Neurospora crassa OR74A: one gene and its partner. The protein of the gene in region 1 interacts with the protein of each later gene in a biochemical or structural test. Links are inferred from orthologs where the notes say so. Each region holds a gene or a part of one and is shown on either strand. Other genes may lie near its edges. The genes, in order: NCU09380 and NCU01301.

Region 1 (4,323 bases):
CCGTCAGGCCATGGTCGCTCAGTGAGCTGGCCGTTGCACAAGGATATACGCGGCCTTGCACGGGTGTAGCCTTGAGGCAGTTCCGTTCTTCTATTCGGTTTCCAAGCGGCACTTAGCCATCAAGTGACGGTGAACCCGATATATGTCGGTCTTGGTGCCGCAGTCAAAATGTTTGCACAGCACTTTGCCTCTACACGCCATGTTGATATGGGGAGGTTGTGTCCCTCGAAAATTGTGGTACAAGTGGTTCAATGTGAAGGTCGTATGATAATAAGGCCTTCCAAGGTCCGGAATGGCGAATATAAGAAAGTTGTCTCGCTCCTGTCTGGTTAATTATGATTTACCTCACTCCAAGTAGGCCACGGCCTGTTTCAAGCGTCATATCTGAACCATCAGGGAAGTCTGGAAGCAAGCTTTTCTCTATGCAATCATATATAACATGTCCAGACTTGTAAACAGGGCTATCAGTCAACCGCAAATTACGCGGGGCCCAACAAAATCGCATTGACAAAGTAAACAACATAAAAGGGGTATTTAGTCAACCTGTGGCTACCGTCCACTTTTGTCACTATAGCCATGCGACGCCTACAATTTCCTCAACCTAGGCATCGAGCTTCTCTAAAAGGAGCTTCGAGCCCTGGTTGCCCTTGGGGGCAGAAGCATTCTTGCCCTTCTTAGCCTTTGGCTTCTCCTCCATCTCTTCCTTCTTCGACGCCGGTGCTTCAGTTGCGGCCTTGATAAGGGCCTTCTTGTTGGACTTGAGGGTCTTGAGGAGCTCCTTCTTCGATGAGAAGTCGGAAGCCTCGAGCATAGCTAGCACCGTCCAAGAGCTAGGGCCGGTGGCCCATTGTACAATGTGGTCCTTGATGACGGGATAGAGAAGGTCGGCGAAGTTGAGCGGGGGGTCGACCTTCTGGATGCTGCCTGTGGCCTTGTCAAACCGGCCGCCAGCAATCAGTGTCTTGAACATGCGGCCACCGTGAATGGTTGTCGAGATGTGAGGGGGAAGAGCTTGGTAGGCATCCTTGGGCGCCTCAGCGTTGGGATCGCCACCGGCAGTAGAGGCAATAGCCTCCAACGCGGCCTTCTTATCTCCAGTCGCCGAAAGCAAAACATCAGTAACAAACTGGCAACCGAAAGAGGTGGCCACCAGGTCGGCGGGTGAGCTTGCGATGGCCGCAAGGAGCTGAGGCGACATGGCCGTCACCAACTCCTTACGCCTAACCTCGGCGTCCTTCTTGCTGGTCTTGGTGCGGATCTCGTGAATCTCCTTCAGAATCTCCAGGTCGGTGGCGTGGCTGGCAGGGAACAACGCTTTGGACATTCCCTCAAAGAGATATAATACCGTCGTGCGCGCGTTGAGGTCGTTAGCGAGAAAGATGACGTGCTCGGCATCCTTCTCTTCATTCTTGCCAAGAATCTCGGAGAAGATCGTCTTGGACGTGAGGACAGTGTCATCAAGGAGATCGTAGGCGGCGAGGATGATCGCGTGCGCGTGATTGTCACCACTCATGAGCTGGTAGGTGTCCTTGTAGGCCTTGAGCAGCTGCTTGCGGTCCTTGGCGGTTCCGTGCGCAAGGAGCAAGCACACGAGGCGGGCGCCAGACTTGGTGAATGCCATGTTTTTGAGCAAGTCGCCGGTCTCATCCTCCTTAATAGTCTCAAAGAACTCCTTGAACTCTTCGCTTTCGGGGTTAAGGTTGAGGAAGTACTGCAACAGAGCGTCGTGGAGCATGGTGAAACCAGTCATTTTCTTTTGAATGAGGCCATTGGCCATGTCAAAAAGGTACTTCATCGCCGTTGTCCTCTTGCTGGGCTCGTCAGCCAAAATCTTGGAGAGATCGCCAGTGACCTCGGTACCCTTGGGTTGCCTAAACAGAGCAAACTCGGGACCGTACCACTCGCGAAGGAGGTTGGCCTTTTGCTCCTTGGTCGCAACACCGCGGTAGACATCGTCCAGAATCCAGGAACCCTCAGCATGGTTGATGAGCTTGCGAACTTTGCCGTAAAACTCGGGGACGATGATGTCGCGGATCTCCTTGTCGTTCTGCACCAGAAGCTTGCCGATCAGGAACTTGGCATACCTGCTCTCGGCGAGCTGCGCATAGGTTCCTTGAAGTTCCTTCGCAATCTGCCTACGCTGAACCGGGGTGGCGTACTTGACGGCGGTCTGGACGGCACGGACAGCATCGTGCTTTAGGACAAAGTCCTTGATGCGGCCAGTTATGATGGTGAACAACTCCTCAACGAGCTGTTGGCGCTCCTCCTTAGGCACATGCGACTTGCGACGGAGCTTCTCCCACAGCTTCTTGGTACGGTGCACCTCATCGGCCAGTGGCTTCGCGTTCTTGCGTTCTTGGGCGAGTTGTTTTTGCTTGGCGTGCGCCTCCCTGGAGCTTGTGCCTGCGTTGTGTTAGTCAAATAACAGAGCGAGGTTCGGTCATCATGGGGCAGATATGGTAAAGAGAGACAACGTACCAGACTTGGTCTCGTTGGAGCCATTGCCGGACTCATTGGGCGTGGATGTTGTGGTCTCTCCTGTGTGGAACTCGGCGTCTGAGCTTTCATCGGAGGATTCATTGTCTTCGGCTTCGGCCTTGATGTGTTTCTTGCCAGAAGTGGTCTTTACTGCTTTTGTACGGCCATCCTCGTTATGCTTGCCGAACGCCTTTCTCTTTCCGCCGGCAGCGGCTGCTGAAGACGACTTGGTCGCCATTGATGCTATGCGATGTCTGTGTTGCTCCGGGATATGAAGGATTGATCTAGGTATGGGGGGCTCGTGTTGACGTCGTACTGGGTGGGCGCTGGTTCAAAGGTGATGGTCGAGCAGGAATATGTGAAAGTGCAGGTATTCAGACGGGAATCCGAAACTTTGGAGTGCCCTGTATCTGAAGCCTCTGAATTGGAAATTCTGTAGCACGTTTTCCGCTGAAAATTTCTGGATCCGCATCCTGGCATCTGCCGGGCGGTGAGAAGCTTTCCGGGGTTCTGTGGTGGGGCGACTTGATCGACACTGTCTAGAACTGTCCATTGATATAACAAGGAACCCAGGCAGGACCCCCACCATAGATTGAGCCGCGCTCGCGTTTTGGAGTTTGGCCTGCACCTGACGCTACAGTCACTGCAATGCCGTCTGGTTGCCCCTCCCGTCCTCTTCTCTAGGTTAGTAAACGCCTGAAAGTCAACATTGCCAGCACCCACTTTTGGAAGGAGTCTTTCACGTTTTATGTCGTCCAGCACACTGCAAACTTGAAAGGCGCCCTACCGATTGGACATCATGGGCCGCGAAGAACAAATTGAAGAGAGGGAAGTCCTCGACTCCATCTTCCCAGATGAGATCCAAGGTTCGATTGTTCGCCCACATCGGTTGCCGTTCAGGCATGGGCCTGTCCTAACCCAAGCTCGACTCGTCTAGATATCTCCGATACCGAATACCGGATTACTATCACGCTGGACATTCCTGATGATGATGCCGAAGAAACACCAAGCATGGTACTTACCGTACGGTACCCCGAAGACTATCCCGACAAGCCACCTTTCCTTGAGCTTGCGTCCGCCCCAAATGCGCCGCCCCATCAGTACATAAACATTGCCGACGATCGGTTCCAGCTGCTCGAAGGTATCCAAGAGACAATTGAAGAGAATTTGGGGATGGCCATGATCTTTACTGTTGTGTCGGCGTTGAAGGATGCTGCGGAGCAACTGGCAGTAGAGCGGAGGGACGCTGCCATCAAGGCGCAAGAGGAGGCCGCCCTTGCCGCGGAGCGCGAAGAGAACAAGAAGTTCCAGGGCACTCCCGTCAATCGCGAAACCTTTTTGAAGTGGAGGGAGAGTTTCTTGCAGGAACTGGAAGATCAGAGAATCAAGGAGGAAGAGGAAAAGGCGGCCGAGATGAAGAAGGCAAGGATAAAGGAGCCTGTCAAGCTCACGGGCAAACAACTCTGGGAGAGGGGCTTGGCTGGGAAGGGTGATGAGGACCTGGAAGGCGATGATGACGTCCCCGTGGAAGAGGTCCAGAAACTCACGGTTTAGGACCGTTAGACAAATCGTAAGCCCTCTATCACGTTCGCCAAAATTATCTAATTCTTTGCTGTAGGCTTTAATCCGCTCTAAGTATACCTAACCCATGTGAAAACCAATCCTGAACATTACTTTTTACCCCTCTTAACCGGACTCCAGGGTATGCCATAACAAGTTTGCCTGAAAAAGACGCCTCAGCTTAAGGTGGTATGGTTAGAAGACAAACGAGACGAAGCCAGTTGGGGCCATTTAACTCATCTCCTCATCTTCATCTTCCTCAACGTCTGTATCTTCCCAAACCTC
Region 2 (3,324 bases), on another chromosome or scaffold:
AGGATTCCCTTTATGGCCCTCTCTGCCGCTGATGATCCGGTGAGCATATCTTCTCCTTTTCCCTCAAGAGTGCAGTTTGAAACCCCCATGAGTATAGAGCTGACAAATTACTAGATCGCTGTTGAGGAGGCCATTCCCTACCAAGAGATCAAGCAGAACCCCTACACGGTACTTTGCCTCACGTCTCTCGGCGGACATCTTTCATGGTTCGAACTTGGTGGCGGACGATGGCATACTCGTCCTGTAAGTTTCTTTTTGCCTCACTTTCCGGTAACTTTTTGCTGATTTGTTGTCTAGATCTGCAACTTCCTGAACAAGATGGCTTTCGATATTGACTTGGACGCCATCAAGCCGGATGCTTGTGACAAGTTCGATAGCCAGTTCAGAACTCACTTCGACCCTGTGCAGCGAAAGTTGCAGATTCTCGATGTGGATCAATAGATGGTGGTGGAATGAACACTTGAAAAGAACGAAGACTGTACATAGATTAGCTATAGAGATGGGTCCATCGATTGGGCCTAAAGGGTCTAGACGCGCTTCAAGGCACATTGGGGCTGCACATAGACTTAGATTCGCGCTTTCGACTTGGATACAGGTTCGAACGTACGTTCATTGATGGCTTATGCGAGCCACGAACTACACCATCCTGACGGTTTCACCTAATAACATCTACCGACTCATGAGAAAAAGAGGCTGGACCAAGGCTGGCGTGCCCAATTGGTATCTTTAATTTCCACACACAAAATCAGTCAGAACTGTTCCCCCAGCCAAGCCATCCTACCCGCCGCCAGACTTTGATTGATATAAACGCCCAGACGCCATACATGCGAAGAAAAAATGCTTGGTGTAGGTATTACACGACAAACTTCCACCCTTCCTGTCTTCATTCTCCCAGCCCATTCCCAGGAGGGACCTTCAAAGCTCCCAGCATCCTTGCTTGATTATTTATTCGGGAGCAGCGAAGGATACCGACTTCTTCTTTTTCGACTTAACGGCTTTCGTGCCCGCAGACGAGAACTCCTTGACATCTCTGGAGTCATCGTCGTCGTCGCCCTTGCTACCGCCCGATTGCTTGCTGCGCTTACGCTTCTTGCGCAGCGAGTCCTTAGTCTCTTCGAGTCTGGCCTTGCGCTCAGCCTCCTTCTTCTCGGCTTCAGCGCGTCTCGCCTCGCGGATCTCCTCCATTTGTCGCGCCTTGATCATCTTGGACTCGATCTGGCCCTCCTTTTCTGCTTGTACGATGGCTAGGATAGTGGCCATGCTCTCCTGTACAAAGGGGGAAAACATGTCAGTTACTTGATGCTTTCCGGTCTTGAAACCTAGCAAGAAAACAAAAAACCAATATGACCCCAGACGCTAACGAAAGACAGCTTACCTTGTCATCCACAAACACCTTGCCCTTCTTCTTTCCCTTTGGCTTGGTCACACCAACGGGGGTGATCATGTTGAGTTCCGGAATCGCAAGCTCCTTTTCGCTGTAGGTCTTCTTCTTCTTCTTCCTGGCGATAAGCTCCTGGATGTTCGGTCGGCCCTTGCTGGCAGTCACGAGAGTGTGAGCTTTGCCCTTCGGCTTTCCCTTGGACTTGAGCACTCCATCGTTCCTCGACCTCTCCGCATCTTTGCTGCCCTTGATGCCGGATTTGTTCGCAGCGTGCTTGTTCTTTATCGTTTTTGTCGGCGCCATTGTGAGTTGTGGTTGATTCGTTGATAAGGTCGTAAGAAATCAACGATAGATGAAATGGTGGTTCGGGATATGGATGGGTGGATGGAGTACGAATACTCTCGAATGTATCCTGTACGCTGTCGCTTCAGTTCGGTCGACTTCTGGGGAAAATTTTGGGACCGGAATTGGTCCCTGCCTTATCTTATCGCGGTTAATCCAAGGTACCTCTAGAGCTTGTGCATATAGCACTGTATCAACGCCTGCTGAGCGCGGTTACGGGGCAGTGGGGTCTGTCAGCTCGCCGTGGGGCTGCCTTGAAATCTCTAATTGGCAGCTGGGGATCGGCAGGCGAGCAGGAAACTCTAGTTTCCTTCTAGTGTAAGCGCGGGGTTGGCAGCACTAGTGGAGGTACCTATTCCATATCGATTGCCTATCGGTGCGTTCCCTCACTGGTGGCACTCCGAAATCGCCAAAATTTCCAAGATCACCTTTATTGTCGCCATCCTTACATCGCAATTGATCACACTGCCGTGGTGATATCCCAAGAGTCTACAGTCCCCAGAAGTCTCAGACGCCCTATTCAGACAAAATGAGCACCGAACAGCCCGCGCCCCGCTGGGCCGCCTTTGCACGCGACACCAACGAGACCAAGATCCAGATCGCACTCAACCTTGATGGCGGCGCATTCCCTCCCGAGACCGACGCCCGCTTGAACGTCAGTATCGCCGACGGCCATGCCACTCAGGCTAGCAAATCGCAAACTATCAGCGTCAATACCGGCATTGGTTTCCTTGACCACATGCTCCATGCGCTTGCCAAGCATGCCGGCTGGAGTCTTGCGCTTGCTTGCAAGGGCGACCTTCACAGTTAGTAGACACACTTGGCTTGGGCGCAGAAGTCCTCGTGGAACAACATCCAGAACTCTGAATTGACTTTGTCCCTCTCATAGTCGACGACCACCATACCGCCGAAGACGTCTGCATCGCTCTTGGTTACGCCTTTGCCAAGGCTCTCGGCACACCCACCGGCCTCGCGCGCTTCGGATCCGCATACTGCCCTCTCGACGAGGCCCTCAGCCGTGCCGTCGTCGATCTGTCGAACCGTCCCTTTGCCGTTGTCGACCTCGGTCTTAAGCGCGAGAAGATTGGCGATCTCAGCACCGAGATGATCCCCCACTGTATCCATAGCTTTGCCGGGGCTGCCCGCATTACCGTGCACGTCGACTGCCTCCGCGGCGACAACGACCACCACAGAGCTGAGAGCGCATTCAAGGCGCTTGCGGTTGCCACGAGGCAGGCTACTAGCCGGGTGGCGGGTCGCGAGGGTGAAGTTCCTAGCACCAAGGGAACGCTCAGCGTATAAGGAAGTGGGAAGGGAGTTAGTTATAGGTTTGGATATAGAAGTGCAATGATACCATGTGATGTCGTTTACCGTGGTACTTTGCGCGCATGTTCGGCTGCCATCATTTCGCTATAGCGACGGCGTAGAGTTGAAGTGAAGAATGGAAAACCAGATACATGTTGCGAATTGGCGAATGTATACCTAGGGAATTTACCCCTGATGCAGGTTGTTGACAAAGTTCCCCTTTCGGAAAGTCGGACGTACGCGGGCTCCACAGCGGACAACAGAATGGGGATCGAGGGGAAAGTGGAAGCGCAAGA

Evidence for each region.
Region 2: the proteins of NCU09380 (region 1) and NCU01301 form a complex in vitro, tested with the Saccharomyces cerevisiae proteins (3 studies listed by BioGRID). The link is inferred for Neurospora crassa OR74A from reciprocal best matches to the Saccharomyces cerevisiae genes PUF6 and LOC1.

The regions. Positions count from the first base shown.
Region 1 is NC_026501.1:3,514,578-3,518,900, reverse strand, and holds NCU09380 (pumilio domain-containing protein), read right to left. Parts: upstream 2,892-4,323; 5' UTR 2,717-2,891; coding exon 2,479-2,716; intron 2,404-2,478; coding exon 602-2,403; 3' UTR 376-601; downstream 1-375. Other genes in the region: NCU09381 (RWD domain-containing protein), read left to right, coding at 3,278-3,344, 3,416-4,032; NCU09382 (TPR domain-containing protein), read right to left, coding at 4,270-4,323. UniProt on the Saccharomyces cerevisiae protein: RNA-binding protein involved in post-transcriptional regulation. Component of the ASH1 mRNP which transports the ASH1 mRNA to the distal tip of the bud, where the ASH1 protein is translated and targeted to the daughter cell nucleus.
Region 2 is NC_026505.1:3,571,556-3,574,879, reverse strand, and holds NCU01301 (60S ribosomal subunit assembly/export protein loc-1), read right to left. Parts: upstream 1,814-3,324; 5' UTR 1,685-1,813; coding exon 1,376-1,684; intron 1,267-1,375; coding exon 946-1,266; 3' UTR 599-945; downstream 1-598. Other genes in the region: NCU01302 (hydrolase), read left to right, coding at 1-39, 115-243, 298-441; NCU01300 (imidazoleglycerol-phosphate dehydratase), read left to right, coding at 2,253-2,529, 2,613-3,025. UniProt on the Saccharomyces cerevisiae protein: Required for efficient assembly and nuclear export of the 60S ribosomal subunit. Involved in asymmetric localization of ASH1 mRNA.